2 linked regions of the Canis lupus familiaris genome follow. The protein of the gene in region 2 interacts with the protein of the main gene of each other region in a biochemical or structural test. Links are inferred from orthologs where the notes say so. Each region holds a gene or a part of one and is shown on either strand. Other genes may lie near its edges.

Region 1 (4,127 bases), on a different chromosome or scaffold from region 2:
AAATGTGCCACGTTTCTGTTTTGTAAATATTGAGCTCCATTTTTTTTTTTTTTTTGAACATACAGTGCTAGCAAAAACAAGTCAAAGATGTAATCTCTATTTAAATACATTGGAACTAGTCGTTAGGGCTTAAATTAGATTCCAGGCTTCGGCTAGAATCAAAAGTTGTAAATATCAAAAACTTCAAAATTCATATCCCCATATTCCCATCCTCCTCCTCCCCATACAGATACGAGGTAGAAATTGGGTGTGAAACCTTCTTTCCAGCCATTTACATAGTGTAGGGGAAAACAAGCTCCTATGCCAGGACTTAAAAAAAAAAAAAAAATCTATTGGCCATTAAACCTTTTATTCAGGACCTTCCAGATGGACACGTTCACTGCTGAAGACACACAGACACAAGAGCTGTTTTTAAATTTGCTTATCACACCGCCCCTAGTTCTCCGCTAAAGAAAAGTACATTTTGTATATTTAAAAATACACGCTCCTGAGAGAAGCCCCTCGAACCCTCGGCGCCCCCACCTCGCTGCCTGCCGGGCTTCTCGGCTTTGGAGTCTCAGGTCCCTTGCACAACACCTAAGACGTGCAAACCTCTTGTTTTTTCTCCCTAGCCCTGGCGGAGAACAGTTGGAGAGATCTCCCTCCACGTCTCCACCCCGATTCCCTCTCTTCCTAGATTCCACCCGCGCCTCTCCTTTCCTCCGCCCCCGGCTCCGGCAGCCCAATCTGTCAGAGAAGTTGTGTACAAACTGCGCGGCCGCCCTGCGCGCGAAAGCTCGTGGCCCGAGGGGGCGGGTCAGCGCGGCGGGGGCGGGGCCCGCGTGAGCCTCTCCCTCCTCATAGGCTGCGCCCTCCGGCCCGGCCGGCCTCGGGGCACCGGGATTCGCTGCGGCGCTGCCAGTCAGGCCGGCGGGCCCCGCCCACCCGGAGTTGGGTAAAATAGAGGCGGGCGTCAAGTGTCAGTAGTCGCGGGGCAGGTACGCGCGCTCGCAGCTCGCTCGCGGAGACCGGCGGTGGCGGGAGCGGGCTCCGGCGAGTGAGAGAGCGCGGCGCGGCGCGGCGGGGCGGGGCGGGGCGGGAGAAAGTGGCCGCCGCGGAGACGTTGGCGTTTGCGCGTGGCGGAGCGGAAGAGTTTTGCTTCTCGTGCGCGCCTTCGAAGACCGCGCCGGCTGTTGGCTGAGGGGGTCCGCCCGCCCGGAGCGTCCCCTTCTCCGCCCGCGGCCCCGCGCCGAGCTCGCCGGCCCGCGTCGGCGTGGGCGAGGTGGGAAGCGCGCCCGACCCGCGCCCGGAGCCGCCGGCCCCCGCCCCCCGCCCCCCGCGAGTGCCAATGGCCACGCGGGTGCTGACGATGAGCGCCCGCCTGGGACCCGTGCCCCAGCCGCCGGCCCCGCAGGACGAGCCCGTGTTCGCGCAGCTCAAGCCCGTGCTGGGCGCCGCGAACCCGGCCCGCGACGCGGCGCTCTTCCCGGGCGAGGAGCTGAAGCACCCGCACCACCACCCGCAGGCGCAGCCCGCGCCCCCGCAGCCGCCGCAGCCGGCGCCGCCGCCCGCCGCGGGCCCGCGGCTGCCCCCGGAGGAGCTGGTCCAGGTAGGAAGAGGCGCTCCCCTCCCTCCCTCCCTCCCTCCCTCCGTCGGTCCGTCCCTCCGCCCCCCTCCCGGAGCTCGGGCGTGTCCCGCCGCTGCGACGCGCGGGCGACAGGGGCCGCTCCAAGCTGGGGCGTGCGTCGGGGCGCTGGGGGGCGGGGGGCGGCCCCTCCCCTCCCCTCCCCTCCCCTCCCCTCCCCTCCCCTCCCCTCCCGGCCCTGCCGGCCTGGGCGCTCGCAGGCAGCAGCGAGAAAGTCGGGGGACCGGAAGGGGGGGGGCGTCCCGGCCGGAGCCGCCCCGATGGGCCCGTCCGGGGAGAGGTTCGAGCGGAGCGGGGGCTCACACGCACCTTGGCGTTGCCCCTCGTGCCTCACGTCCAGCGTCCGTCTAAATCCCGGCTCTCCCCTGATGCACCCCGACCCCCACCCCCACCCCCACCCCCACCCCCACCCCACGGAGGATCCCCCTCGTAGGCTCGGGTCAGGTGGAATCGCAGCCCGGGTGCCGGCGGGAGGCGCCTCGGGTGCTACTTTCGTATCTCGGGGCTCAGGCTGCTCTAGACGCGATCTCGGGGCTGCCTTGGGGAACCGAGAGCTGGGGGAGCTGCGGTGGTACCGGAGCGGCGTGTCTGTGTGTGTGTGTGTGTTTTTCCTTAAAAAGCCAAGACCCAGAAAAAGGACCGGGGGTGTTGTTTTCTTCATGTGCGCGTAAATTTCCTCCCGGAGCCGCGTTGAAAGCTGGCAGTTGGCTCTTTACACTTGCCCGGCAGCCGAATTAGAGCAGCCGCCTGTTTCTTTCGCCCACGCAGGGAGTCATATAGCCCTGGAAAAAAAAAAAAAAAAAAAAAAAAAAAAAACTTCCCGGGACTTTTAGCCTGTCCCAAGGAAAAAAAAAAATTGGAAACATACCCACATGCAAACAGCTGGAAGAGCTAAAAGCAGAAACCACTAACCACCACGGGAGCGAAGCGCACGGAAGGGTTTTAGTTGGGTTTATTTCGAGACGCTTCGTTTCACGGCCCCTTGGTGCGGCCCCTGCGCCGCCGCGGGGTCTGCGGGCCTCGTGGTGCCCGGAGAGGGCAGGGGCATTTGTCAGAGGTGTGACTCACAGGGCCCGAGCGTTAGTTTTTATTTTTAAATCGTGTCTATCTGGGAAGCCCTGTCTTAACATCCACAGCGAATGGTACGAGGTCTGATACGAAACGCTTTTGAAATGAAGTGATAGCAAAAAAAAAAAAAAAAGTGTATTATTCACCAGTTAGGATGCCACCACGATTAATAGGTGCATGAGCCATTTCATGGGGGTGGGGTGGGCTCTGCTTTGCTCTGAAAATTTACTTTTCGACGTTAAAAAAATAAATATTAAGTTTATGTTTATGTGCTAGTTTATGTACTGGCATAGAAGAGTTTGTAAAAAGAAAAAAAAAAAGACGGAGGGTGACTAGTTACAAGCTCTGGATCGTTGTGTTAAAAAAAAAAAAAATCCCCACTTGAGAACGATTTGGTTATTTCAGGTTGGTCACTTCTGGTTAAGAGACACCAAGAGGCTAAGGGATGATTGAGCTTTTTTTTTTTTTTTTTTTTTTACAGAGTAAGGGGGAATGTAGCATTGGGCCACTGAGAAGGACATGGTAAATGTTTTGCTGATGACTGTGCTAGGGATACAGCAGCCTCTCCCCACCCACGGACTCCTTAGCACCACTCTACCAAGGGAGTGATTTTCCCCTAGGTAATTAAAGATCTGTTTTAGATAGGGATATGAATAGGAACATTTCATTATCATATTAACCAATTACAGAATCTGCTGATTAAAATCAACATTTAGATCAAATGTTGAAAGTGAAGTTGTTCTGTTCTTTGAGTGGATACTGTTCTGCTCAAGAGGTTGTATTTTAAGTTTCCAGTGACCTGTACATGAGAAAAGGCACTGAAATAGCCAAGGAATATGTTATATTAGATACTTCAACAATATCTACCTGGGCAAACAAACAGAAAGAAACCCTAAAACAGAACTTCGCAATATTATTTTTAAGGTTGTTTTGCTTAGGTTTTGTTTGTTTAAACATACCTGTATTAACATAAATATGGCACGAGCAGAATTGAGGAGGTTCGGCAGTAGTAGTACGATACTGTATTTAAGTTGAAAACTCAACTGTAATGGGGTAGGGAATCCTGCTTTTGTATGTGAGTTATAAAAATACACTTTGTTATCGATTAGAAAGGAATTCTAATCCTTTCTTTCTGCTGCTGCTGCTTTTTTTTTTTTTTTTTTCTTGATTTGCCTGTTAAACTTTTTGTCCGGGGCTGATTGTGGGAGCGATTTTACCAAATACACGTTATAGAGAGTTTCATAAGGGTTTTGGTAAACCAGTTATTACACAATGGACAAATAAACCTGATACGTTTATAAGCGACGCTTGAAAGGAGCTTGCCCTAGTACTTCTCACAGGTATCGCTGGGGGAATTTTTAGTAAGTTTGTCTTTACTCAGCTGATGAATTGGGTGGATTATGCATGTTTGTATCTCTTCTTTTTTAGACAAGAT
Region 2 (3,500 bases):
CTATAATAATATTGCTACCTCTTTTCTCAATCTAATTGTTTACTTAAATGAGAATATTATATGCATTAAGGTTCTGAACATATCACAAAATATAAAAACAACTTCAGCCAAATTCCCTCTCCTCCAAATGTATAACCTTTTCTAAGTTAACACGTATATTTATTACCTATCAATACTTTGTGACATAGGCCGTATTCCATGAATTAAGAAACAAATATTCCAAGAATAGAGAACTGTCAGTACTGGGACTATATACTAATCTGCTGATTGGTAATGGGCAGTAACTGGCAAATAAACTATATAAGTAATAGAAAAATTTTCAAGTTGAAAATGCTATCTTTCAGAAAATGAAACACCCATTTTCTAAATTTGCTATTAATTTAGCTATTTCAAATATGACAACCCACTCAAGAATATCATGTTCAAATGTAAATAAAAAAAATCAGTTTAGTCAAATTTACTTCCTTATGACTACAAATCAGTAGCTCTTTGATGGTAGAGGAGCCTGATGCAGAAAGGCTCCACTTCCACTTTGAGTGGGAATGGGATCGCAATTACATGGTCCATCAACTTTCAGCTATCAAGGCAAAGGGACAGCTTTTGGCCAAATTAATCCTCTGCTAAGGAGTTTATTAAAATCCAGGTTATTTTCCTTTGAGACTATCTACCCATTAATTAATAGAGGGAAATGCAGGGCTACAAAGTTTCAGGTTCTAAGACAAATATTTATATTTTAGAGGAAAAAGATCACAGAAAAGCTGAAACAAGTTATTTAAATAAGTTCAAAATTTACACTTCCTTCATGCCAATTTTAAAGTATATGTAAACAACAGGATAATCTGATTTGTCTTTTTTTGGATTGTATTAAATCAGCAATTTGACAGCGATTATCGTTTTAGTCAAAACAATCTCATGATTCATCAGTGAAGCGTCTAAGGGATACAAGAGATAGGATCCCTTACCTGTAATGAATAGACTCTATTAGTATGCCCCTGCAACGTGTGTAGACAGGTCTCGGTCTCCGGATCCCACACCTTCACCATAAAATCATATGCTCCACTAACAACCCTCCTGCCATCATACTGAACACAGCGGACTGCTGCTACATGACCCATCAAAACATGTAAACACTGGCCTGTCTCAATATCCCAAACCCTAAGAGTGGCATCTCGAGAACCGCTAACAACTCTGTAGTGGGGAAGACAGAAAAAAAGAAGTATTAGAATGTTTAATAACATGAGAAAATATGATATATAAAGTCAGTGGTTACTGAACTTTTTCCTTTCTTACTTAAGCAGGAATACCTGTTTTCAAAGAAATCTTATGTAAAACCTTGATACACAAACATACAGAAGTCAAGCTACTTTGGTTGGGATGGGAAGCTGGGAAGCCCAGAATTCCACCTGCTTAGTGTCCCGCATTTATAAGCGGCTGCATAGTGTCTGGGGTTCTGGGGGACGGTTTGAAAACCGCTGTATTGTATTTGAAGCAGAAGCAGCAGCAGCTGCCGCCGGCTCCAATAAATACAAGATCTTGATTTTAGAAATAAAATGCTAACGTGAGCAACATGTATAAAATGTTAATGGCAGAACTCCGGTGGTAGTATTTTGAAAAATTTTATATTTCTTTTTTATTCTTTCTGCCATTTCCCAAAATTTTAATTATGAACATATATTTTCTTTGTGACTAGGGAAAAATTTGTTAAATGTTATTCAACAAAGCAAATCTGAATTTGGAATTTAAACAGTTAGAGATGGGTGTGTTACACCATTATAATTCTGGTAAAATTAACCTGTTGTAGCATATCCTCTAACAAAGGCTGCTTATGTTTATAGTTATAGTCAACAGGCTATGGAGGTATTAAGATACACAGATTTTAGAAGATACACCCGGGGAGGCAATAGAAATCCCTTAAAAATCTGGCCCAACATTAATAAAGCTATGCTCTTCTGAAGACCAGAGTGATACAAATATTGCAATCACCTCTGGATTACGAAGCAGAGCTGAAAATTCAGGTATCTTCATGTCATTCTTAAGAGATAAAGATAGGCCACAGTTGCCACATTTGGAAGAGTAGAGGAGAGCATTGAGAGATTTAAGTCAGAATATAATGAAAACTGAAATACAGGGTCTCTTAATATCAATACCCCAAATTTTAATAGCACACACTGTTCAAAGTAGATTCAAATTACAAATGAAAAGGTAGCTTTCTTCACATATTACAAATCGAGCATGAAATCTGCTTAAGGTAATGGTTTTCACAAAGACAATGTTGTGGACAGAATTAACGGTAAGGAGTGGATGGATTCATGGTAAGGTCTGCCAGAGAGGCCTTTTTTGACAAATGAAGTCAAAATCACATCTGTTTACCAGGGTACTGTGAAGACATGCAGATAGAAGATCGAAAGGACTTTAACAGGAGGGCTTTGTAGGAGGAGATCAAAGCAACGGCAAAGGCACCGAGAGGACAAAAAGGCAAGCAGTCTGGTTTGGCTGGAACTATTTTGAAAACTGGATTGAGCATTTCTTCCTTGATTCGATAGACAACAGAAGGCTCTCAAAAGGGCAATGATACTATCATAATTAGAAAAGGATTCTCTGTCAGCTGTGTAAAAGGTGAGAAAACCAAGTGTGAAAGCTATGTAACTAGTTCAGGGGACCGGTAATGAGACACTAAACAGAAATCCATGGGCCTCAGCTTTTGTCTAGACAGAAGGGGATATGATGGAGTGGGGGTAGGGCATGTGGGTAATTAAAAAGGCCCAGAAGTTTGAAGCCTAAGTAACTGAATTTGTCCCACTAGTAGAGATGTAAATGCAAAGCAAGAGAGAGAGAAAGGTTTTTTTGAAGATGATGAGTCATCAGATGCAGAATAATAAAGTGCCACCCAAGATTAGAGAATAGAATTTCAAGGAGGAAGCCAACAAAACCATTAAATGAAGAAGGAAATTTAAAGACAATCCTCCAATTTTAAGCCAATATAGTACTGCTTTGCTAGTATAGAAATATCTGAAGTCTAATAATTAAAGCCTAATTTAAGAGCACATTACCACTATCTCTCTAATAAACAGAATTATACAACTGAACTCTACACAAAAGCCCTCAAATCACAAATAACAGAGGAAGAATTCCCAACCATTACAGGATTTTCCCTTACCTTTTTTCATGGAGATGCATACAGCGGACAGTGGAAGTATGCCCATATAAGGTATGTATACATTCCCCAGTCTCTGCATTCCACACTTTTAGAGTCCGATCTGTAGATCCACTAATGATGATATTGTCTCTCATCTGTGATGACCATACTCCACCTGTGTGTCCCACTAATGTTCTCAGACACTGGAAAAACACTTAAGATGATTACTTTTGGTAGAAAGAAAAACAATTTACATGACATTTCAGTAGCTTATTAAAATCTGAGGTAAAGTTATTTATAAAATTGGATTGTTTCGCAAATCAGAAAATAACTTTTTATACCAATATGTCATGATACCATCACC

Evidence for each region.
Region 1: the proteins of FBXW7 (region 2) and KLF5 form a complex in vitro, tested with the Homo sapiens proteins (2 studies listed by BioGRID, with this or other methods). The link is inferred for Canis lupus familiaris from reciprocal best matches to the Homo sapiens genes FBXW7 and KLF5.

The regions. Positions count from the first base shown.
Region 1 is NC_049243.1:27,271,277-27,275,403, forward strand, and holds the start of KLF5 (Krueppel-like factor 5), read left to right. Parts: upstream 1-1,327; coding exon 1,328-1,588; intron 1,589-3,173; exon of another isoform or gene 3,174-3,312; intron 3,313-4,120; coding exon 4,121-4,127. UniProt on the Homo sapiens protein: Transcription factor that binds to GC box promoter elements. Activates the transcription of these genes.
Region 2 is NC_049236.1:50,546,700-50,550,199, forward strand, and holds part of FBXW7 (F-box/WD repeat-containing protein 7), read right to left. Parts: intron 3,340-3,500; coding exon 3,158-3,339; intron 1,189-3,157; coding exon 963-1,188; intron 1-962. UniProt on the Homo sapiens protein: Substrate recognition component of a SCF (SKP1-CUL1-F-box protein) E3 ubiquitin-protein ligase complex which mediates the ubiquitination and subsequent proteasomal degradation of target proteins.